2 linked regions of the Arabidopsis thaliana genome follow. The protein of the gene in region 2 interacts with the protein of the main gene of each other region in a biochemical or structural test. Each region holds a gene or a part of one and is shown on either strand. Other genes may lie near its edges. The genes, in order: ASY3 and ASY1.

Region 1 (12,083 bases), on a different chromosome or scaffold from region 2:
GGCCTGAGATTCCTTGGTTTTTGAGTCTTCTGGTCAACACAAATGGATGCCAAACAAGAATCATAAAAGCTTTGAATATCCTGAGACCAATAATAAGGATTAAGACAATTAGTGCCAAGAAAATTACGAGCCCCATGGAAAAGTTTTTTTTTCCTTATGTTTGTGTGTGTGTATTGTTGTTCTTGGTTAGGTGTTTTAAGTTCTACACTATATAATGACATGCACATATAACTTTGTAAAATAAGTCTATGGCCAGTGAATGAAACACTATCTAAACACTACATGAAGTTAGCACAAACACGTCTGTTTATTTTCAATTTGAGAACAAACAAAAAGTAATTAATAAAGTAAAATGTGTCTTATATATGGTATGATGATAGAGTAGATTCTAAATATGCCTATAGCACATATTTGTTACGTAATAAGACAATTATAGAAAGTATATAAAAAATGAGTGGATAAAAGAAAAATATAAAATTACTCATGAAAGCTAAGTAATCCTTTTGGGAGAATAATTTAGTTTTAGCATTCATTGTATCTTAGGTTTACTGTTTCTGTATCTTTAAAATAATCCGGCATGGACAATGAATCAATGATTTGTTGTTAACATATCATTGTGAACAAAATACTTGATGAACTAATTGTTTGGAGAGTTAATTTGGTATTTGAATTCAAACGAAAATGTTATAGAAATAGAAGTACAACATTGTGAAAATAAATAAACAAAGATGAGAGATATTTATCAACCAACGGTGCAATGTGATGGATCGTGACATCGAATCTTAAAATGAAACACTTTTTCGTTTGTTATCTACTTTTGCATGGTTTCATATTTAAAGGAAGTGGTTGAAATTTTATTTCTATACTAAAAGAATTGGTTTAGACTTAACTATCCACTTTCTTTAAGTATCATGTTAACTCATGAAATAAGAGTCATCTATTTTTAAAAGAGAATCTTCACATTGATTTCAAGTTTTCAACGCACCTGACGCTAAAATATCAGAAATTCAATGTGTGAGTCTCATCTTCATCACACTATTGCACTCCCTTGTTTTCGTGTTTGAAAAAGCCCAATTAATTTTTTAATGTTTGAAAAAAGAAAGAATAAAGTAGATATTAGTCCACTAAAAAGCCCATCAAGCCCAAGTTTTGTAGTACTTTACTCAATCTCATCATTGAGATTGTTCCTTAATCCCAAAAACATGGCAAAATTCGTTTCAAATTACGATTTAGGTCAAATGAGTTGTCTTCATCTTAGTTGGGTTTGCGTTAAAATCGGTTTATCGTAATTGAACACTCATCATCATCCATCATTATGCAATTGCACGTCCTCTACTTATAACTTTGTTATAGAGTCTATGATAACTTATATTTGTTATATTTTACTTTGTACATCCACTTTGAAAATAGTTGGAATTAAGTTCAAATCGTTCCAAGAATCAAGGCCCAAAAGCCCATAGACTAACAACACAGAGTAGACGATCATTTTTTTTTGCTTAAAGTTAGTTAGTTGGAGAAAACATCAACTTTCTACAAATCATTAGTTTGGCGAGCGATAATAACTAAAACCGTTGCTTCCTCTATATTGCATTGCATCTTCTAAGTTTGAGGCGGACGCAGACTTTGGGAATTGAGTAAAAGAAGTAGCCTGAGTCTGAGAAACACACGAAGGCACCACGAATGGCTGAGAGCAATTTTCCAATGGAGAAAAGATAGGAGTGTTTGGAATTAGTCCACTTGGGTGATTAAGAAAGCTTAGCATTTGTGGTGGTGCATTGTTCATCCCCGGAAAACCGGTTGCTTGAACATTCATAGGCAGGAATTGCGGTATTGATGTTGGTGTTGCTGCTGCACCCATATGCATTCCTAGACCCATGGGAGAGTAATGACCCATTGGCAACATCGTAGGTGGTCTTATTAATCCATTTCCCATACTCATCATCTGTAAATAATTATTAGAGCATGTTAATTAAGAATCTTATATATATGTAAAAAAATTTGTAGTAAAATAAATAAGGAATAAACTTTTGATTGTTTATTGATTAGTGTTTAATTACGTTTATAATTTGTTTTGGTTTCTCTTATGAAACTAGTTTCTAGTGACTTTATCAAGAATCATTCGTAAAGGTAAAAGCCAAACGCAATAATATTTGATAACAAAAACACTTTACAAAGTATATTTTAATGTTAAAAAACAAATTTATATGTAAATATAAACACAAGTCTGTGTTTAAATAATTAACACCTGAATCATTTTATTATCTCTCAATGAAATTTTATTGAATTGGTGTATTATTTTGAATACCTGAACTTGAAGTTGAAGGGTCCGCATATATTTGATAGCCTCATCCAACAATGAAGCCTTATCATCCTATCATCAACAATTACAGATATTCAGAAATCTCCACAAAGAGAAAATTAATTAACTCTCTAAGACTAAGTAAACAATGTAATGTGATTTAAGTTAATCTCAAACCTTGTAACAATTTGGTAGTAGGTCCTGCAAAGCACGCATTTTCTTGTTGAATTCATCTCTTCGTTTCTGTTAACAAATCCTTAATTAGCATTAATTTTCATACATTATTTTTTTTCTACTAACTAAGGTGAAATTTTCATACATATAAACTCACTCTTTCATATAACTTATGGACTTCTGTGCTTCGTTTTCTTTTAGTCACCGGCTTTCTTGTTCTCGCATGAACTTGTGTCTTCGCATCATCTGATTCATCATCTGAATTCTGCATAAGCAATAAGAAAAAGACAATTAATGATCTACCATGTGAAAGAACTAAGACAAGCAGCTAATTAATTTCTCTTACATTACTTAAATAGGTTGATTCTTCTTCTTCAATATCTCCATACTTCCTCTTTAAAGAACAACAACTTAGATCTCTCGAAGTTCCTCGAGAAAACTTCGATGAAGAAGCAAAATACAATTCCGTGGATCTACCAACAGCTGCAGATTGCTCATCAGGAGGAGCTGTAGTAACTTCAACATTCTTTGGACCTTTAGCAGAAACATCAATTAATGTTGATGATTCAACACATTTGTTGCTTTTCGAAACATTTCTCTCAAATTCGATTTTGGAGGACTTTAGCTTCTTCTTATTGTTGTTCATTTGTTCATTGGTTTCTTTATCTTGTTGTGGCTTAGACTGACTCACCGGAACAACTTGTGTGTCTCCAAGAATCTTGATGTTTTTCTTGAAACCCTCGCTGTACTCGGTCTCATACAAATCCAGGAGAGATTGCCTACGTTGCTTTTGAAAAGAACCGTTGTTCTTTGGTCTTCGAATCTTTGCAAGAATCTGCCCATTTTCACACACCAGCTCCATATAATCTTCATCTTTTAATCTGCAAGAAAAGAGTCACGTATAAATAACCTATTAACAAAAAAAAAATAGTCAGGAGAAGACAAAATTGTTTCAAGCACCGACAGAACCATAAGCGCCCATTATTTCAAAACCACGCATGTGTATATGTTTATAGAAGTCGCAAAAAGTGTAGATGAAACCATAATAAACTTACTTTGGTTTAATGTTTGATGATGGAGAAATCATGTTTGGTTCAGATGATGATGATGCTAAGGGTTTTGCTTCCATTGAAGTAAACTGAACAAAGCTTTCTTTACTTGTCTTTTTTTTTTTCCGGTTTTTGTGAATTGTAGAATCAGAGAGATTCGGACTTCACACTTTGGTTTTCTTTCTTGGGGTTAATGAAGAGCAGCATATATATATATATATAGTCGGTTGTATATATGTATATTCGCTTATTTCATTTATGATTGATTGATATGGAGGATTTGTTTTGGTCCACAACTCATATATTTATCCTTGAATCGTGATTATGACACAGTATGGAGAATTAGTACAAATTATTACCTTACAAACTTTGGTCGACTTCAAATGTTACATTTCAGATTTATAAAATTTACAGTTGCTTTTTTTTAATACAAAACGTATATATTTGTTTGTATATGTGAAATGAGTTTTCGCACGTTTTATAGAAAAAATATAATCATAAATTCATAATAACATAGACTATACTATATATACGCGATAAAGAGTAGTATAAGTATTCATGTTAATGTGTAAATCTTTCATTTTAAAACAAAAATATTGATGGAATAAATGAAAGAAGCAAGATAATGTATGGGCGATAGTGAAAGACAAAGAAATAGAGAGAGAGACATTCTTATGACCGACTTCTCTACTCTCCACCGCTCCATTTTTCTCTGCTTTCGGAAAAAGAATAGAAAAATTAAATAAAAATAAAGTCAAATCTACGATTGCAATTCCTTTTTTTTTTTTTTGTCTTCATCTAAAATGAGAAAATATTAAGCATGATCATTTTTTTAACGTCTGATCCGTGAATTTTACTTGAGCACAGTCAGATATATATATACATATATTTATATATGGTTTTGTGTATTTCCTTTTTATTTAAAAGGTCAGGAAAACACAATGTAGTAAATAGGAAAACACAAAAAAAATCACTCCCGATGATGCTCCAACAATAATGCAACTAGTATTGATTTTTTCGTCATGCAAATTCCTATAAGAACGTGTTCTTAGAAAGTTTAGGAATAAATTCCAAACTATGCAATGACAAAGCGTCCAACTGAACTTACTAAATAATCTCCAGTATTGGAACACACTATTTCTATATTATGTTCGTGTGTTATTTTTTTTATTGAAGATAAAAGTATTATCAATAAGTAATACGCATGTTCAATTGTTCACAATTAAAAAAGAAAGGTCAAAACTTAGGTAGACCGAAAAAAAATCAATAATGTTGTTATCAAAAATAAAACAAAACACTAGTAAAACTGTAGTGAGTGACATGCGAGAGAGACGGGCACAAAAGGCCCACGTGAGCGGAAAGAACCTTCACGCCATTATTAAGACATATATGGATGGGCCCTTTCTTAAAGGCTTTAGTTTTCTCTTTAAATGGGACCCACAATTAGGCTTTTTTTGGCCAAGTTCACGTGCACTTCACGTGAATGCCGCGTGATTCATCCACCCCTTTGTGTTATTTTGTCTCCCTCCCTTCTTTCTTGTTTGTTTCTAACGACTGCTACTATCTTGTCGTCTTCTCCATTTTTACCCTCTCGACACATTCTAAATTCTTTTACCGACCGTAAAAAAAGAATCCTCTGTGATTTGAGATCTCTCTATTTACAAACAAAATTATCTCTACCATGTTTTTATCATCACAGTAAAATTGTTGGGTCCAACATTTTATTTTCTGTTTCATTCGATTGATATCGAATTGTGACCATTCTTTGTTCAGTTTGGTTTTGATATTCAATATGAAATACATCTCTGTTAAAGTAAAATATTGTAATTAAAATTCACATCAACGTCTGCAAAATATTCTGGTTTTTAAAAGAAAAATGTTTGGATTGGTTTTGCTTCGATATATATCAAGATATCAATAACCTAATTAAAAGTTGTTGGTTTAATAAAAAATATCTGCAGTTGCTGGCAAAAATAAATTAAAAAGAAACCTTCAAACTGCTATATAAAATAAGGCTCTATGATATAAGTAGTTTTGTAGTGGTTCAGTGAACAATAAACTATTCTATACGAATACGAATCAATGACAATGAGTCAAAGCATCATCTACTATATCTTCTTTATTCGCCTGAACTCATGAGACCACTAAACCAAAGGCTGGTTTTGCTTGAGAGGTTTTTCTTTCCTGGTTAACACAGTTCGTCTAGTTTATGTTTTAAAATGGAGAATAACGACGTACGTGTGGTTGATTGATTCTGTGAGACTCAGTGTCAATCATCCCTCAAACATTCTGCGACAATCATCTTCAGCTGCAGCATCTTTCCTCTCGCAGACTGTAAACCAATACGTCATTTTTAAGTTGTGCTTTTGAATTCATGATTTAACCATTTTTAGAATCTGACTCTTAAGAAGCAGAACAATGACTTGCCTTGTTTACAGAATCGATTCTTTTGGTCGCATCGTCCAGTTTTGTCTCGATGCCTCCTTCAAAATGTGCAATGAGTTTTTGGTGTGATGTTCCTGTCATAGAGAGATAAAAAGTTATCAAGTGAGTTTAGGAAATACTTGTCCTCCTGCTATTATTATATTAAAACTATCTTGCCATGAAGAATCTAACTTTGATAACATCATATGTTTCAAGTATTTCTAGTGTTAGAATTCGTTGTAGTAAAAGCAGGAATTACAGAAGTTAACATACTTTGCTTCTTTATGCTTCCTTTCAGCTCTGACTGGTTTGCTTCAAGCTCTTCGATAGTACTCTTAAAATCTTCAAGATGATGGCTGACATCGTCCTTGAACTTTTCATGGATCATTCTCATTTTCTCTTCTTGCTCTGTTAGACGATTAGATATTATCAGTGAACACAATAGATCAGAACGGATCTTGCATATTTTTATTCAATGAGTGGAAATATGGAGACATTTCCAGACTCTCATGTTCCACAACAATACACAGCTCAATTTTTTATTATTCTCCACATAGGAATGAATTGAGCATTTAGCTTTGTCTTGATATAACTATGTTAAATGCAAGTTTCATGTCTATGTTAGAGCCGAAAGTATAGTTAGGTGTGTGTGTGTGTCTAATCAAAGAGACATGAAAGCACAAGAATGAAGCAAGATGGTGAGTACTTCAAGACTAAATGCAATCTAAAGAGTAATACTTGATATCAAATTTCCGATCTACTACCTTGAATCAGGATTAAACTGCAAAGATAGTATATTTGAACTTCTAAGCTTTCTTAATGTTCATGACTGTGAATTCGAGTACAGTATTAACTATTAAGATATAATGTGTTGATGTACCTTGTAATCTTGTTTCGGCATGCTTTCTCTTAGTTTTGGCTAGGTTACTTGTCTTTCCCCTGTACCATAATTAACAAGATCTTTGATTGATAATTTAAAAGAAAGAATGCAGAATAAATTATACAAACATACGCTTCTGTTATGATATGGGACTTGATATTCTCCAACTCCAGATGTATCTCCTCGGAGACTGATGCTATAATTTCTGAGGACTTCTTTTCAGCTGCAGATTTCAGTTTTCTCTCAAAGTTTTGAAGAGCCATAGCGAACAATGCAACAGCCCTGAGACATGGTAAATAATCAACTTAAGACAGGAACAAAGATTAAAGATAGACACGTAATATTAGTTATATCTACAAGAGACCTTCCCAAGCCTTCATCTTCATCCTCATCCATCTCTGAACAATGCTGGAAGGAATCAGTTTTATCGATCCCTGCTCAGTTTCCAGGACAAAACAAATGAGGGTGCAGTATATAAACCCACAACAGTGACATACAAATGAGCATTATACCTTTTGACAAAGGGGAGGGAGGACTTAACACGACACGTCCAATGCCCTTAAGGTTAGAGTTCCGTTTAACTGAGCTAGGGCCTAACATAGATCTCTCATTAGTCCAATTGGCAGTTTCTCTTTCTTCGGGGCCTGAATCAGAAGATCAATAGAATAAGCAAAACATGGATTCTGTTAAGAAGAAAATAAGATCCTCCAGTTTTTATATGGTCTAGGATAAGAATTAAGAAGCATACTGATGTTATGGCCTAACACTGGTGAATCTTCTCTTGAACCATCTGAGTCTCGCTCATCAGACGACGGATCAGACAGAACTAAATCTTCATTTGGCTCAGGAGAACTTTCTCTTCTGAAAGAATAATCTCTTTTCTTCTCCAAGAAATCCTGAAAATAAATAAGTAAACACAAAAGTCAAAGAGGAGTATATAAAGTCAATATGCAACTTAAGTATAGATAAAGCCGCTTCAGTTTATGAAGGTTACAGGCAATCTCTTTTCTGTATCTGACGCTTGGCCTGTTGTCCCTTGAGAGGTTTTCTTAGTACCGAAGCTAAATATTGGTGTTTCCGTCTCATCTAATGTGGGACTAATATTCCTAGGTTGCAAAGGAGATGCTTCTGGAGAACAACATGGGGAAGGACTTGAGATTGGTGCTTTATATCCAAAGGTTGGACTCTGGAATTCGTTTTCTGGCTCAACAGACTTTTCCCTGAAAATATTACTCGGCCGTTCATGTTTATCGCCATTTTTAGATAATCCCTGGGACATCTCTGGCAGAGCTGCTGCCTCAGCTTCTGGCGATGGATGAAAATCTCCTTCCCTTGTGCTAATATCTGGTTTCTGTTTCCGGGCTTTGCTCTGTGGATGAAGGTCATGGGAACTTCCCTTTTTGTCTGAAGATGAAGATCTTTTGCCAGTTTCTGTGCTTTCAGAACGTGGTGGAGTATTGCTCTTGCTCGCCTCCTTCCGACTCCAATCAGCTTCATCCTTTTTTCGAGAATGAGCCTTACGGCATTTTACAACAGTGTTTTTTCTTCTACCCCTTTGTTTCTTTGGCATAACACTGGAATTCACAGCAGTGCCAATTTTTCCGCGCAAACCTTCCTCAAAAGAAAATACACTATTTACTTGTTCTGTGCACTTGCGACCTAAGTTGGCACCAGCTTTGGTTTTCTTCTGGACACCTTTGGCTCCTACCCTCCTCTGCAACAAAGATCTGGTTACTGGCCTTCTGGTAGCATTTTCAGGGCTTTCAGAATCAGTTTCGATAGAATCTGAATTGTGTCTAGGCTTAATAAGAGGATCATCATTTGAACCCTTGTCTTGACTCAACTTGAAGTTGGTCTTCTCAACTTCTGGGGTCTCAGAGTTCACATCTTCATTATTTGCTGGTGAAGCTTTTCCCAATATCTCCCACAGTTTTGATCTCAAAACATCAGTAGTTCCATTTGTCTCCTTCCCTGGCTTATCCATCTTCTCTCTCTGTGAGGCAACCTTTTGCTGCAAGACTGCAGATGGAGGTTCTTCCATCCTCTCTGGACTCCTATCCATCACTCTATCGTTCCTGCCACCATTCAGCTCACCAAGACTGTGCTGAGGACTCGAAATGGGACAGTTTTGAAATGATTCACGAGCTGGTGTCTGATGTGCTCCATTAAGTCCCTTGTTTAATCCTTTGCTACCAGACAAACTAGATGTTTGCTTACAAAGAACACTCTCAAGAGTCCCTAATTTCCGATGAGACGATCTCGGAGACCTCCAAGGTGAGGTCACATGTCCTGTGACCTGAGCTGAATTCCTTTGCTTGGCAGCTAAATCACTTTTCTCTTTCTTGTTCGCCTGTAATTCAGTTACGGTGGCTGATTTCAACTTTTCTACTCTAGCAATAACATCTCCATCATCCTTATCTGGCACAAGATTCCTTTTCGGTTGTGAATCAGCCATAACTCCTATAGAAATCTTTCTAGATTGACTTGATGGATGGTAGTTACTGCCGAAGCTTCTATAGTCGCTCATCTTTTCCTGAAATGTATCACCACAAGGTTAACAATTCTGCTGGGAAAAAGAATGTAAATATCAACGAACACCTAATCACTCATATAATTTCTGAATAGCAACACAAACAGAGAAGTAAAGCAGTACAACGCAGGCTATATTCAGCGATAATGGATGATAAATTAATCATTAGGAATGGTAAATTTCTAACACTCGGATAAAAAATTTGGTAATAGAAAATCCCAAAATAAGAAGGTGCTAGATCTGGATAATATGACGAAAACAAGAGAAGCAGCAGATAATAGATGCTTGAAACGATGAACAACTAGCGAGATGTGATATCTCTAGCAACGAATTTCATACCAAAACTCTCCGATTATGCAAAGACAACACTATAACGCTGGTACTAAACTCAAAATCGAGACGATAACACCAATTTAACGAAAGGGGGCATAGATCGCGACGACTTATCACTGAATATGAGAGTAACGAGCCATGAATCGAAAACGAAAACAGAGAAAATCGAGCGATGGTATCATTGGCTAAGAAATTACCTAATCAAAGCTCGCGGGTACAAGTGCGAAAGCCCTGACTCTCTGATTCCGGTGAAGAATTAAGTGATCAAAGAGAGAAAGAAGATCGCCGGAATATTAACTGGAATAAGATCTGAGAAAACTGATAGAGAGAGAGAGAAGCAGAAATTCGAAATTTCTAGGAGAGAAGCGGGGGAAAATGAAAATTTAGATTTCTCAAAATGGTGTGTAACAAACACTGTCTGTAGCTGAATTGCGTATACACGACGCCGAACATTTGGACGATTTTAACCCTGAGATTTCTTCGTATTTACATTGCATCGTAACCGTCAGATTGAGGTGAGTACATGTGTCGTAATCTACTTATCATTCTCAAAATTTTGGCGCCTTAATTCGCCTCTCAAAAAATTTCAATCGCTTCAAAGTTCAAACGGAGACGGTCTTTGCATATGTCAAGTTTCCGTTAAACTTTGACGGGTCAGGCTAGAGCCATCCAAGTCCAACTATCCCGGTGACTAGCGTTTATATATATGCTACATAACCAGGCCCGGCCCAAGTGGGTAGTGCCTGGGCCTAAGGCCGGACTGTACATAACTGATCATTAATTTGAGTTCTATTTAACAAACATTCTATTGTTATTCCATGTTTTATTTATGATCCATACTCGTAAAATAATTCACTTATTTATTATATAGTTTATATATATATATATATATATATCAACATCGTATTTAATAGTTCACAAACATACATAATTTGTAGAGGATAAATTTACAAAAAAAATGATAGGGAAAAAAAAACACTCGATTAAGTGTCATAATGTGAGGAACGAGATTACGTCATACAGAATCCACAGGGACAAAATGTCACACTACCAGTGTATTTGCTTTGTAAGAAATTTAAAATCAATTCAAGATTTGGTAAATCTATATACAATTCATGAATTGCGTGCGTAATCTTAACATTTTTAAGGATTTAGAAGAACCAATAATATATAGTATCTATAAAAAGACACGCACGTAACATCTCGACTCAATACCTACACGCACGCATGCAAGTATCTTTTACTTTATGGAGGCTATTGTTTATCTATCTATATAAACGTATTAAGCTTCTGCATCCTAACCATGGAAGACCTCCACTTGATTGCCCTCGGGGGCTACTCTTCCATTCAAATTATATTACATATTTTAACACTTTTTGCTTCCATTAAATTACTTTCTTTAATATTAGCAGTTTACCTTAGAGATGAAAGTAACCAAACTTTATGTAAGGAATACAAATACAACTTTAGATAATATAAAAAAAAATTATTAAAGGATAAAAAAATATTAAAAAAATATCATGCATGCAAATTCTAAATCAAAATTGATTGCAAGAAAAAAAAAATACATATATAGGCACTCCATTCATTTAATCACCAATTACTTTTTGAATAGAAATTCTATGAGTTTTAAATTTTATATACGATATCAACGAAGAAATAATTCGACTTCTTCCAATATCATAAAAGTAACATAAGCAAGTTCAAAATTTAATGCTTCATTAAACCAAAATAAAATAAAAAATGCTTCATGAATATATATATATATATATATATATATTTGAAATTATTTGGTAGGGGAAGTAATGTTTTAAAACTTGTATATTATAACAATGAATACACATGTAATAATGTAAACATACATCCAATCAACAAATGAAAGAAACAATCCGATAATTTCAGTAATGTTAAAGCAAAGGGAGGAAACAAAAGGCTATGATTAGTCCAACAAGAGGGGCTACAGAAAAAGAAAGCCACGAGACATGCAAATGCAATCACGCATCTTAAAAGCAAGCCCAAGTTTTGACTGACAAGCAACCACGACGCAGTAAAGTGGAGTTCTCAAAATTAGCGCATATATAAAGTACTTGAACTATGTGTGTATCTTTCCAATAAAATGCAATTCTATAATGACTGCCAAAATCAGTACTTCATATTATTTTTGAGGAAATATCGTATATGTGTATCTTTTTCTAACAAAAGTTTTTTTATTCAATATAGAAAAAAATGAGTATATTTACAATTTACATATCATAAGATTAAAGTTGCAAAGAAATAAAGAGAAGATGCAAATGAAAATAATGGAAGAAAAGAGGGGACAGAGAGGAGGCGGAGGCAGTAAGAAAATAAGAAAGTGAGGAAATTGTAATTTGTAGTGTTGTTAGGGAACATCTC
Region 2 (11,920 bases):
ATTTAAGCATAACTATCGTAGCTTCCTATAGGAAATGAGACTTGTATGTTTTTGTTTGTTGCAGAAAGAAGATGTGTTATGCTGTCTGGATGGATGCATGTTTGTTTTCAAGCTATTTTTCTCGGAGTTTGTCCGCTTCTGTTTCTATTTGTTCTTAAGGTGTCTGGGAGCTTGGTACAAAACTCAAATAATAACTTCAAACTTGTTTACGAACGAGAAAGAAATAATGCTCATTGGTTCTTAGTAAAGTTGTTTTGATTCTCCATCTCCTCCATTTTTGATACTGATACAATTTCTCAAAATGTGATAATTTTTTCATGTTCTTCGAAGTTATGTAGCTAACACTACCCATCCTTGTTTAAAAAGATCGAAACACACGTAGTACATTTTCACAGCACCAAGAGATAAAACACTAGTTCAAAGTTCTGTGATAGAAGAAAAAAAGAGAGGTCCTAAGATCATTTACACACATAACCAAAACCCAACAAACCAAACTTTCCAAAGCAGCAACAAATCACAAAATGTCTCAATCCTACTCCGAATCAGACGATGATTTATCACCATCAGCCGCATCAGTAGTCTCTCCTTTCTTTCCAGCCGTATCCCCTCCTTTCTTTCTCCTTGCATCTTCCTTTTCATAAGCCTTAACAATGTCATCAACAGGAACCAACGGAAGATAACCAACCAAAGAGTAACCCATATTAGTCATATCAGTCACCAAATCGTTGTACCGACTGGAAAAGTGTGCAGCCACAGGCAAAGCTTTGTCACCCATTGCATGGATTGGTTTATACTGGTTAAGTTTAGCCCAGACTTTAACCGAGTTGGTCACAACGAAAAACTTGTACTCAGTTGCAGCATAGTTAAACGCAGCTTTGGGACCACCGGTACGAGCCTCTTTCACAAAGCTTTGAGCTTTCTCTGTCGCCTTGTAGATCAATACATGTGCTTGATTCACCACTTTCTTAGCCATTGGAGGAGCATGCTCATCAAACTTGTACGAAACTTCACCCACCTAGCAAAAGTAAATAAAGAAAGGAAATGTTTGAAAAACTAAACACGATCTGGTTTCTAAATTAGGTCATCAGATCCAACAAAGACTAAATCTATGAGAAATTCAAAATTGGGCTCTACCTTGTGATCTAGAAAGACCAGGAGAGAATCAGGAACATCTTTGAATTTCTGATAGACAGGGGTGACGACGGTGGTGACGGCTCCTTCGACCTTTTCCACGGCGGATTTGAGAGGACCGGAGTTTTGTTTAGCGTATTCGTAGAGATTTGAGACGGAAGCCAGAATATGGATCGTTGCAATTCTCACGAACGCTAGGTGTTTTAGCGCTACCTCCTTGCTATTTTTCTTCTCTGTCTCCATCTACACCAAAGACGATGAAATCACGATTTTGATCGTAGTTTTGAGTGAAGGAAGAACAAAAGTGATGATAATAATCTCTTACCTTAGTTTTTTTTGTGAGTTCTTCCGATTTGCTTTCTTGAGAAATTTCGCCTGTCACTGTTCTTTATGACGTTATGAAACAGCAAAGTATCTTCACATCACGTTGAGGAGTGTGAGGAATGGTTAAAAATACGAGTGGCATTGGACTTGTCCACGTAATCCAACGGTTGATAATAGATCTGAGGGTGTGTGGGGTATTAAAAAAAGAATCGTTTCTAGAAAGGCGTGTCGTGTGTGGATGTTTCTGGACTTTTAAGCTGTGGGCTCGGAATGACGAAAATATTCTAGGGGATTCTTGTACGAACACGTGTATACTTTCCATTGAGTAGTGAACGTATAAGCGTTAAAGTTTTTGGATTATTTTTTGTCGGCCAAATACTTTCATTAAAACAGTCCATTAGGGCAATTACAAAGAGAAGCCCAATAACGTACATGCGAAATAAGCGGCCCAGTTTACCCCTCTCGTACTCTTCAGAGAGAGAGAACCTCCGTTCTCCGATCTCCATCGGAGATTAGTATTTGGTTTTTCTTTTGTTTTCCGTTAATCGGAATCTGTAAATTTCGCTACGGCGAATTGAATAATCTGACTTTAGGTCAGCTTTTGTAACCGGCTCTGTCTGGTTTAGATCTCCATCCATGTTTTCTGTCGATGTCGCCGTTTTCTTCACAAATCCTCTTAGTTTTCACCGTTGTGTTCAAGGAATAATATCTTCATCAATTCCTTTTGCTCAGGAAGAGCAAAGAATCGACTTCACCAATATGGGTGTCGTTATAGATGAAGCTTCCCTGGCGCTGGTGTTTCTTGGAGATTTTTGAAGCAGCTTCTTTGTTCTATCCGGCAGATCTTCGACGTTTATTGGATTTGGATTCGAGATCGACAACAAGGAGAAGGCTATCCATCACTACTAGACGGATCGGCGGTGACTGATCGAAGGCGGTGATGCTCCGGCGAGATGAATTCGGCGGTGCTCGATTTCCTGACGCGTGGAATGGCGTAGTACACGTTTCAACACGTGTTAGTATCTAAAGTTAAAGTTTTTGGATTAAAGTGATCGACAGGGGAATTTAAAACGAAGATAGTCCTATACTTCATACTTGTTCCATAAAAGCATGTAGAGCATTAGTGAATAATACTCACAGTAATAACTAATAAGTGTTAAAGTTTGATATGCAATAAATTATCTTCCCAAAAGTGCGATAAGATATGATACTTTAAGAGAGATAATAACAAGCATGGAGTATGAAAATAGTCTGAATGCAGAGGAGAAATAAAGCAATAAAAAGCGAGTGTTTCAGGTTAATATCATCACCACTGAAGAAGGTGGTTATGGTGTCTGATAGAGGTGGTGTCTTCAATTAGCTTGAGATTTCTGACGCTTGGAGTACTGCAGAATAGGCTCCCTCACCTGTAGGAATAACAATCACAAGAACCATGTCAGTTTCTTTCAGCAAATAACTAAAAAGTTGAAAAACGTAGAGAGAGTTTATATGGTTTAGTGTAAGATACCATGCTGGTTTTCCTGCCACGTCTGTCCTGTGAGGCTTGGCTACAGTTGACTGTCTCGGCTTCCTTAACAGCTCCACCATGTACCGCAAAGCTCTCCCTCGAAGCCGCAGGCTGAGTGAGCAACAATAACCAAATTAGCAAACACTTAAAAGAGTCATATACACAGTAAGATATGTCTATCACTCTCAGTGGTGATTTCATACTACCTGTGCCTTGTTGCTAATGGGAGTGTTCCCAGCTTTAGAGATAGTCTGTTCACTTAGAACAGAGCCGTTCTGCTGCATCCCACCAGATCTTCCTTTCGTGCGTGTGAAGTCTGAACCTATGGAGTGGATACCTCCACAGGTAGATACATCTATTTGTTTCAAATATGTCAGATCGATTAAAACAGCTTAAAACTTGGGTTGCAAAGTGCAAATAAGGAGTGTACCTGCGGTTACTTTGGCATCTGGGCCGTTTGTCTTGTTAATAGTTTCGGTAACATCCACATCCTGTGAAACCATTCACATTAGAAAGCTGTTCCAAAGAGGTATTCTGGTTTTCAAGTATTATTACCATATCATCGGTGGCAAGAACCTTTCTGACTTCATTTAGCTTCTTCTCAGTTAGACTAGAATGAATCACACGCTTCCCTGTTTATAAACATTGCATCAGTGAGGAAAAAATGACACAACAACCAACATAACTTAACAGAGAAGGGTCTGAATTGAGGTAGCAAACCTAGCCTGCGGTTGCTCGAAGCTTCCACGTAGCCCTCTTGGGTCATCCTGTCCATTAATTTACGAACTGCAGTCTGATTGGCTTCACCATCCAGCATGTTGTGAAGCTTTGTAATTGTCACATATTTCATCGGAAGAGAATGGTAAAGAGCCTAACAAAAAAAGCCAAGTGTCAATCATGGATCTCCGGACCATCTCTATTCATCTATCCTTTGAGCTAGTGTGTTAAACATAGAGTAAGAAGTCAGAGTCTCCCTCACTTTCATGTACAAGTAGTCTTCAGGAGCAACAGATTTCCCTGGAGAAATTTGACCATCGGCTTCCTCTTTCACAAAGGTGAATTCGCTCTCTGGTGTCTGAAATTTTGGGGTAAGTAGGTAGAAAATAAAATTTAAAAGCAAAGGCGAAAGTCATAAGTAAATGAAACCAAAGTAGGAGTCAGGATAAAAGAATCACCTTGTCTCTCTTTTTAATGTACATGTCCTTCCCCGTTTTCGAAAGAACACCTTCTGTCACGAGCTGATCCATGATTTCTGAAAGTCAGATTGTGACCAGTTAGTATAGGAAGACAGACTCTGAAGTTAACAACAGATAGCTATTATCAAACTGTATTATTAATCATCATATGATGATGCTTCAAGCGTGTTTTTGCCTAGTTATCATCATCAAGCTTGATTTACCTTCAGATAGAACCTGAAATCATAAAAAAGAGTGGCTTAGAGTTAAGAAATGGCGGAAACTAAACATGCAAGAGCTCAGTTACACTTTCTAAGGTGGAAATGAAGAGGAACAACTCATTACTATTGAGATATCTGGGAAGTTTGCAAGAATATCTGTGAGCTCCAGAGTATCAAGGTGACGGGAGTTGATCCAGTCCTTCACCCTTGCTAACTGCTGTTCATTCTCAGCCGGATCCTGTGTGTTGTCATCTTGAAGCATTTAAAAGATAGGTGAAATTAGAAGAAAGCTTTTCCAATACCGTGAAACCAAATTTTTGAAGTAATATTTGTATAGTAAATTTACCTTCATCAACCTCTCCATCATCGTCATCTTGTTTCTCTGTTAGATTATTAAGTTAACTCAGATAAGTGAAAACATTACTAGACTGGCATAAGCATACAAGGGTTTGTTACTCATCATTACCTACTGGCGCCACAATGAATTGATTTTCTTGTGTTTGACTGATCTGAAAACAACAATGAACATTACATTATAGGCACAGTGGAGTGTAATGCACATAGGATGTAAAAGATCTGAGTACAAAGCAGATGAGCAAATTAGAGACTTTGTTAACCTCGCTATCTGAATCAGAAGGCTGGTCATCATGTACAGAATCAGGTCCTATACTCTTACCATCATCTTGCATGTCGTCATTTTCATCTTCACAAGGATCAAGCACGCTCTTGACCTGCACAGATCATCCACAATGAATTGACATCATAAGACAAGAAACATGTATAGCGAGTTGCTTTATTCTTCAATCACGTTACCTTTAGCGTTAACACGAGATGTTTGCTGTTAACATTCCCAATTTCCATTCTCAGAGGATTCTTTGTCCATACATACTGAGCTTCGTCTTCTGTACAGCCTCTGAAGAAAGGTGGCTCGTAATCTGGTGGCTGCAAAAAGGTTTAAACAACAGCTGTCAGTCTTTCTTGTGGGCATTCAATTTTGGCATAGTAGAGAAAAGTGATATAAGATGAATGTAAAGACATGATTCCAAAAGAAAGTAGAAAATGAATGCAAACACAACAAATTCAAAGCTAGCCTGTATGTGTTATAAGTGTGTAGAATCAATCAGTAAATGAGAAAAGTCACATTCACAAAATAAGGATGCTTATTACCACAATATGCTAGTCTATAAGTTATTAAACGAAAGAAGCTCTATTGAAGCTACATTGAGATCATAGCAATGTCACCAGGGTTCAGAGAATTCAGGAAGGCTGTAATCATACCGTCACATCATCGTAGTACAGAAGCTTCATCACTATGGTGCGCTGCAGAAGCAAAAAAGGTAGGAATCTCAGTAATCAGCAATATGAAAACTGAGGTCAATGAAACTCCACTGAAGAGTAGCTACAATATTCATTACCTCATCTGGCATTTTGTCAAGAGTCCTCATCAGCTGAACTAGTGTACGAACCATTTTGCAAGCTGAACTCCTGATTTAAGTACACAATCATGAAAAATTATAAAGCCTGTTACGGAAGATAAATATAGACCTCAAACTCAAAGTAGGAAAGAATTATCTCAACACTGCACCTCATTTGATTTGGGGTAATGTCAGCAGTGGAGTTAAATATTCCTCCATTTTTCTTATTTCCAGTACGATTGATATTCATCATGACATCTTGGCTGTCAGAATCTGAATAGCTGAAAGAAACTGCAATAACACAGACCCTTCATCAATCAATAATGGATGTTACATATATATAGAGCATTGAATTTTAGCATAAAGCGATTATGCAAAAAAGCACAATCATCAAAGCATACACCAATTAAACAGGGAGGGATGAGGCATCAATTAATCAAATCACCCACCGGCGAACACATTTTTATCAAGCTAATCAATCATTCGCCAGAACTTACATGAGTATTCCTCAATCATCGGACCATCAACAGTTTCACATATGCTGAACATGAGCGTCTTCAAATATTTCCTCTGAAGCGCATCGTAGACTCCTAGATTCCATATTAAGAAACAAAATCATCAAAGATAAACGAGTACACAATTGAAACTAAGCGATAAATGCCAAAATCATTAGTATAGAAAACCTTTCTCCATCCAATCAATTAATCGGCGAGATTCAGCGTCCATAGGCATTAGCTTCTTAATCTTCATATCTACAAAAGCGTCCGCCCAATATTAGTTACAATATTTACCGAAATCGAAAATTTAACTTGATTTCTTTAGATCCCAGAGCCAAAGAGCTCTAGAAACTTCCAGATTAGCATCTCACCTAAAGCAGGAACCGATTTATCGTTGAAATACTTCTCAGGAAAGAGTCCTCTGATGTAACTTATGTTGAAGATAGCAATACGAAGCAAATTTCTAGTCTATTTCAGCAAAACGAAAACCAAAACAAAGACGTCAGTGTAAACGAGCTAAAAACTCCAGCTGATTAACGCGTAACAAACATAGAAACTGTTCACGATTCTTCAGATTAAGCGAAAAACTAAGTATAAGAGAACGAGATCTGAAATCCAGATCAATATCTACGAAAATCACCAGGAAGGAGCTAGAAATTTCACGAATCGTTAAGAAACAAAAACTCAAAAGCTCGATGATCGGCGTAGCTTACCAGAAGAAGCGAGTCCTGCTCAGTGATCTCTGCTTCCTTCAGCTTCTGAGCCATCACCTGGAGGTAAGAAACAAAACGAAACGCTAAAATCAGACTGAGAGAACTTGAACAGAGCGAAAATTTCATAGACTAAGATGAAGAACGAGACGGAGAGGAGAAAATTGATGATCGGCGATTTCTGCTCTCACCATTTTTGCAGAAGTGTGAAACGAATAACGAGATTCGTCGTCGGAGGAATTCTCAGAGAGAAGGAGGGAAGAGAAAATTTCAAAAAAAATTGAAAATGGAGAGAATGTTTATCAGTTTATGACTAGTGAGGGAGTCTGGGAGATCGTTTGAAGTTTATAGAAATGGAGAAGAATATTTAGTGGCAAAGCTGATATTTAGTGGTGATAGCATGGGTAAAATCGACTAATTGTGTAACGACGCGAAAGATATTTAGTGGTAACGTTGGTATTTAGTGACAAAAGCAGGGTCAATATCGTCTATTCGTTTCAACGTCCAGAAGATATTTAGGGGTAACGTTGGTATTTGAGATGGTAGTAGGGGCAATATAGTCTAATTACTATAATCACGTACAAGCGCTGCCAAAATCCAAAAGTTCGTTGCTCTTCTTAACTGGACCCCACCCTGATTTTAATTTTTCTAGTATAATTTTGTTTTTTGATTATTTAATGTTACAGCCCAACCCAGGCTCATATATTGTTTTTGGGTTTAGCCCCAATTACATTTCTGTTCTTTTGAAAATTTTGTTTTGTTTCTTCGTTTTGTATTTTTCTTTTTCTTTCAAAAGTCGTTAAAGACTTGAAATAACCAACTTGGTGATGGTTATATATGTTATGATTTCTGGTGTCATGGAAAGAAATCTGAATGCATATTTTATCCTGTGCCATTTATACGGAATGCATTAATTGTTAAATTCTTTCCATTTTATTAAATGTCATAGTCAACAAAAATAACTAACTGTTATAAATTGTAATGAAAATTAAAAATGAAGAATAAAAATAAACTTTGATTAGGGTTTCATTACAATTATTACCAGATATTTTCGTTGTCTGACTATAATCACTCTTATCTCTTCGTATATCATGTATATATATGTAACCTCTTCGTCTCTCTTCTCTTCATCTATAATCCTATTCTAATCTCTCTAGTCTACAAGTCGAAATGAGTCAATTCCCTCTCTCAATTCTCAAAACCTCTCAACCTCACCATCAGCCCAAATCCATGAACGCACCACGATCATCGGATGCAAGAGGCAAACGTATCCTCATCGATCCAATCGACGACCGGATCAGTAAACTCCCCGACGATGTGTTGGTCATGATCCTAGCAAGTTTGTCCACTGAAGATGCTTTGAAGACAAGTGTGTTGTCTACACGATGGAAGAATGTATGGAAACAAGTGCCTTACCTCCACTTCGATTTGCTAAGTGCTACATACGAGAGTGGACTTATCGCTGCTCTTTCCAATAGTGTTGCGGAATCGATAACCCAGGTTTCTCTCCATTTTTCCTTATTCTGCTCTTATGAGTTTCCAGTCAAATGTTTTGTTTTTTATCTGTCTCGTTTCCCTTAACTTAACTGATTAGATTGCATTACATTTTGATTCGTAGAAGAAATGTTATACGTGAACCAATTGAAATCAAATGCACTTGCTTATATAAATATGAAAGTCACATGTTTAACTTTGTGGTTAGGTGATTATCTGGTTTTATCTTATTTTCCCGCAATAATAAATGGTAAGCATAACGGTATTTCAAGCGAAAACATAGATTATTTCTTTAAAATAGTTTTCATTTAAGATTTTTTACGAGTATTAAGAAAACATTCATTGTTTTAATTCTAATTACTGTATTATTTTAGTTGATATCATCAATTAATAAGCTTAAAGAATAGAGATAGAATTAGAAAATCTATCAAGTGCATTGAAAACCGAAAATGACAACTAATTCAAAATAAAATTTAACTTTTAAAACGACAGCTAATACGAAATGGAGGGAGTATTTTTTTAAAAAATTTGTTTATTAATATATTTGAAAGTGAGCACTGATTTTGAATGTATTATTCTATTAGCTAATGAAAATATATAAAAAATGATCTCTTGCCATATATCTTTCAATTTTATTGAATTTAACAATTGATCAACTTATTCACAAGATATAAAAGAATTGGCTTTTGTTGACAACTTTTTACATTGTATATGTGTATCAATCTTTAACTAAAACCACTATTTTTGTTCTCAAGGTTATAAACAATCACAATGGTCATTTGATGGGTTGCTCAATCCATCATTTCGCACACCATTGTGTAAACGGTGTGCTTGAAAATTGGATTCGATTGCTTACTCTTGAGAAAAATACTAGATTTCTCTCACTTTGTAACAAACTTGGTAAAGGTAGGAGAACCAATGTGCTTCGGTTTTCCCCTAACACTTTCTCGCATCCAAAGCTCGCAACCCTCTTCCTACGTCGATACGATTTAGTAACCGCACATGCCTTCAAGGAGTGTGAAAATCTGAAGATTCTCAAGCTTGAGGGAATCTTAGCTGAAGTTGATGTGTTCAACACAGTTATTGCATCATGTCCTTCTCTCAAGGTGCTGGTGCTAAATTGCATGTGGTACAACGAAAAGACCTGCCTGAAGATTCATAATAATAATCTGAAGGTCTTGCATTTGGATTGCCCTCATGTTGATTGCATTGACGTGTCTGCAGCTCTTCTGGATATTTTCTCCATTTTCTACTTTGCGTTTGCTAAGGAACAAAACTTTGTCATCAAGGCACCAAGACTTTTGTTTAATAATTGGACTAAAGATCTAGAGAAAGTGCCAAACATGAACTACAATATTACATCTCATGCTCAGGTACAAGTACAAGCATATATATATATATAGAAAATGGTATTTTATATATTGCTTAACATATTTTGTTTTACATGAATTGAAGGAGAAAAAAAATATTGGACATGAGTTCGTGGTGAGTGGAGATGCTAGCTACTTGCAAAAGCTTAAGTCTTTGAAGGTGGTCGTGGATGTAACAAATTCGAGAGAAGTCCACATGCTAAGGGACATTTTAGTTGCTTGGAATGGAGTATTGGAAGAGCTCCATATACTATTTAAGGTACTTTCATTTTATGCTTTAATTTTAGTACTTAGAAGATTTGATCAGTTTTCTTCTATCTTTTTTTTATTTTAATTTTTATCTTCTATCTTTTTTTTTGGTTTAATGAGTTTTAATTTCAAGTATCTATCATAACCAACACAACATGTTTATGTATGTTCTTGTCTATATATATATAGGATAACAATGTCCCTAACTCTAAGGAAGATAGTGAATCTTCGATTGGTGGAACACAAAAGAAAAAGTGGGAGGAGGCAAATCTGTTTCCCAATGCTGATTTTCGTGTGGAAGTTATGTGGATGTTTGATTTCAACGGTTCAAATAAAAAACAATTTGCATTAGCTTCGCGTTTTGTAACGCAAGGGACGGTAATGAAGAAGATGATGATTAAAACGTCTTCATTTTTTGCAAATGAGAAGTTGGATAACGAAGCGGTTGTGGCCAAACTAAAGGAACTTCCAAAGGGTAATGAGAATCTTAGTATTGAATGCTTCTGATGGAATTTGGTTAGAATCTAGTAGAAAATAATATTTCTAGCCCTATGTGACATTGATTGTGGTGAAAAAAAACAAATTTCAAAACATAATCTTGTAGTTTTCTTCTCCCTTTTATATTGATGATTTTTCTTTATGACAATTAATCTTTAGTTTAATATTGAATGTTTTTAAATTTAAATGACAAAAAATACCATTTTATTGCAATGGCTTTTATGAACTTGTCACCGCATCGAGGATTAGAGTCGGAATCGGCGCTCTTGGAATCTCGCTTCCATAACGTTTCCAAAAAAATCCACTTTGGGAGCTCTTTAAAAACTAACAATTGATCTACATATTTTGAAAATTTGGGCTTCCATTAAAAAATTTGTTGTCACTAATAAATAAAAAAATCATTATATTACTTTTGATAATTTTCTTATACAAACATTAAAATAAAACCAAAACTAATAGTACTCCCTTTGTTCCTTTTTGTTTGATTGTTTAGAAAAAAAAATTGTTTCAAAAAGATTGATTTTTTAGATTTTCAATACAATAGTTATTAGTTATAATTGATAAATTGTAAACTTCAATACAAATTAGTGAATATCATTGGTTTAAAGTTATTGAAAATTGTAAATCACAAAAAACAATACATTTAAAAGCAACATTTAATATGTTTTTTTAATATTTGTGATTTTTCTAAAAGATCAAACAAAAAGGAACAGAGAGAGTAGTATTTTACCGTACTAATCTTTCTATTTTATTGTTAGAGATACCATGCTTGGGAAAACGACAACGGCGTGAATCATTTATTAGGAAGATATTGGAATGATTAATTGAATTAAATTAGTTTCGAGAAACTTGAGTTTGATAATGTTTATATGAATAAAACGAAATTTGAATTGATGGAATTAGCTAATTAGGAAAATGAGAATGAAGATAGTGATCTAAAGTGACAACAAGAATTGATTAGTAAAAAACTAAGAGAGAAGAGAGAAAGAAGGCATATCCTCAATTCTGAAAACATCATCCATCATCAGCTCTCTCTCAAGCTGCCCCCTTGTACATCTTAGCACATCCTACACAAATACCATTTATCATCACATCACCATCACCATAACCAAGCAATATAAACCGAAAGATGATCGACTCACGTTGAATTCCATGTAGGTGGCGTTCTTGTCCAGCCATTGCTTGTCCATTACCACAAAGGCCACACAGTAAAGCAAATCAAAGGCCCATTCGCTTTCTAGATATTCCAAAAACTTAGTTAAAAATCAAGAAAACCAGAGAGCCATGATCATCATAACCAAATGTTTCCATATTTTACCTGACAACATT

The links.
Region 1: the proteins of ASY1 (region 2) and ASY3 form a complex in vitro, tested with the Arabidopsis thaliana proteins (one study listed by BioGRID).

Annotation. Positions count from the first base shown.
Region 1 is NC_003071.7:19,294,077-19,306,159, forward strand, and holds ASY3 (asynaptic protein), read right to left. Parts: upstream 10,196-12,083; 5' UTR 9,887-10,195; intron 9,384-9,886; exon of another isoform or gene 9,360-9,383; 5' UTR 9,354-9,359; coding exon 7,821-9,353; coding exon of another isoform or gene 7,803-7,820; exon of another isoform or gene 7,791-7,802; intron 7,723-7,790; coding exon 7,575-7,722; intron 7,471-7,574; coding exon 7,339-7,470; intron 7,261-7,338; coding exon 7,191-7,260; intron 7,109-7,190; coding exon 6,959-7,108; intron 6,886-6,958; coding exon 6,827-6,885; coding exon of another isoform or gene 6,753-6,826; exon of another isoform or gene 6,355-6,752; coding exon 6,220-6,354; coding exon of another isoform or gene 6,158-6,219; exon of another isoform or gene 6,042-6,157; coding exon 5,950-6,041; coding exon of another isoform or gene 5,926-5,949; exon of another isoform or gene 5,855-5,925; coding exon 5,792-5,854; 3' UTR 5,416-5,791; downstream 1-5,415. Other genes in the region: CYP709B1 (cytochrome P450, family 709, subfamily B, polypeptide 1), read right to left, coding at 1-136; PIL1 (phytochrome interacting factor 3-like 1), read right to left, coding at 1,541-1,942, 2,306-2,371, 2,477-2,542, 2,631-2,738, 2,820-3,354, 3,529-3,602. UniProt on the Arabidopsis thaliana protein: Required for normal meiosis in male and female gametophytes. Acts with ASY1 at the interface between the developing chromosome axes and the recombination machinery to ensure interhomolog recombination.
Region 2 is NC_003070.9:25,236,540-25,248,459, forward strand, and holds ASY1 (DNA-binding HORMA family protein), read right to left. Parts: upstream 7,299-11,920; 5' UTR 7,175-7,298; coding exon 7,172-7,174; intron 7,041-7,171; coding exon 6,984-7,040; intron 6,739-6,983; coding exon 6,642-6,738; intron 6,526-6,641; coding exon 6,457-6,525; intron 6,364-6,456; coding exon 6,271-6,363; intron 6,065-6,270; coding exon 5,944-6,064; intron 5,844-5,943; coding exon 5,774-5,843; intron 5,679-5,773; coding exon 5,637-5,678; intron 5,301-5,636; coding exon 5,172-5,300; intron 5,090-5,171; coding exon 4,976-5,089; intron 4,868-4,975; coding exon 4,825-4,867; intron 4,741-4,824; coding exon 4,705-4,740; intron 4,611-4,704; coding exon 4,483-4,610; intron 4,375-4,482; coding exon 4,362-4,374; intron 4,215-4,361; coding exon 4,138-4,214; intron 4,038-4,137; coding exon 3,942-4,037; intron 3,834-3,941; coding exon 3,683-3,833; intron 3,595-3,682; coding exon 3,518-3,594; intron 3,454-3,517; coding exon 3,393-3,453; intron 3,318-3,392; and 7 more. Other genes in the region: AT1G67360 (Rubber elongation factor protein (REF)), read right to left, coding at 533-1,015, 1,135-1,374; AT1G67390 (F-box family protein), read left to right, coding at 8,151-8,480, 9,230-9,847, 9,930-10,103, 10,283-10,600; AT1G67400 (ELMO/CED-12 family protein), read right to left, coding at 11,560-11,658, 11,734-11,828, 11,910-11,920. UniProt on the Arabidopsis thaliana protein: Required for normal meiosis in male and female gametophytes. Plays a crucial role in coordinating the activity of DMC1, a key member of the homologous recombination machinery.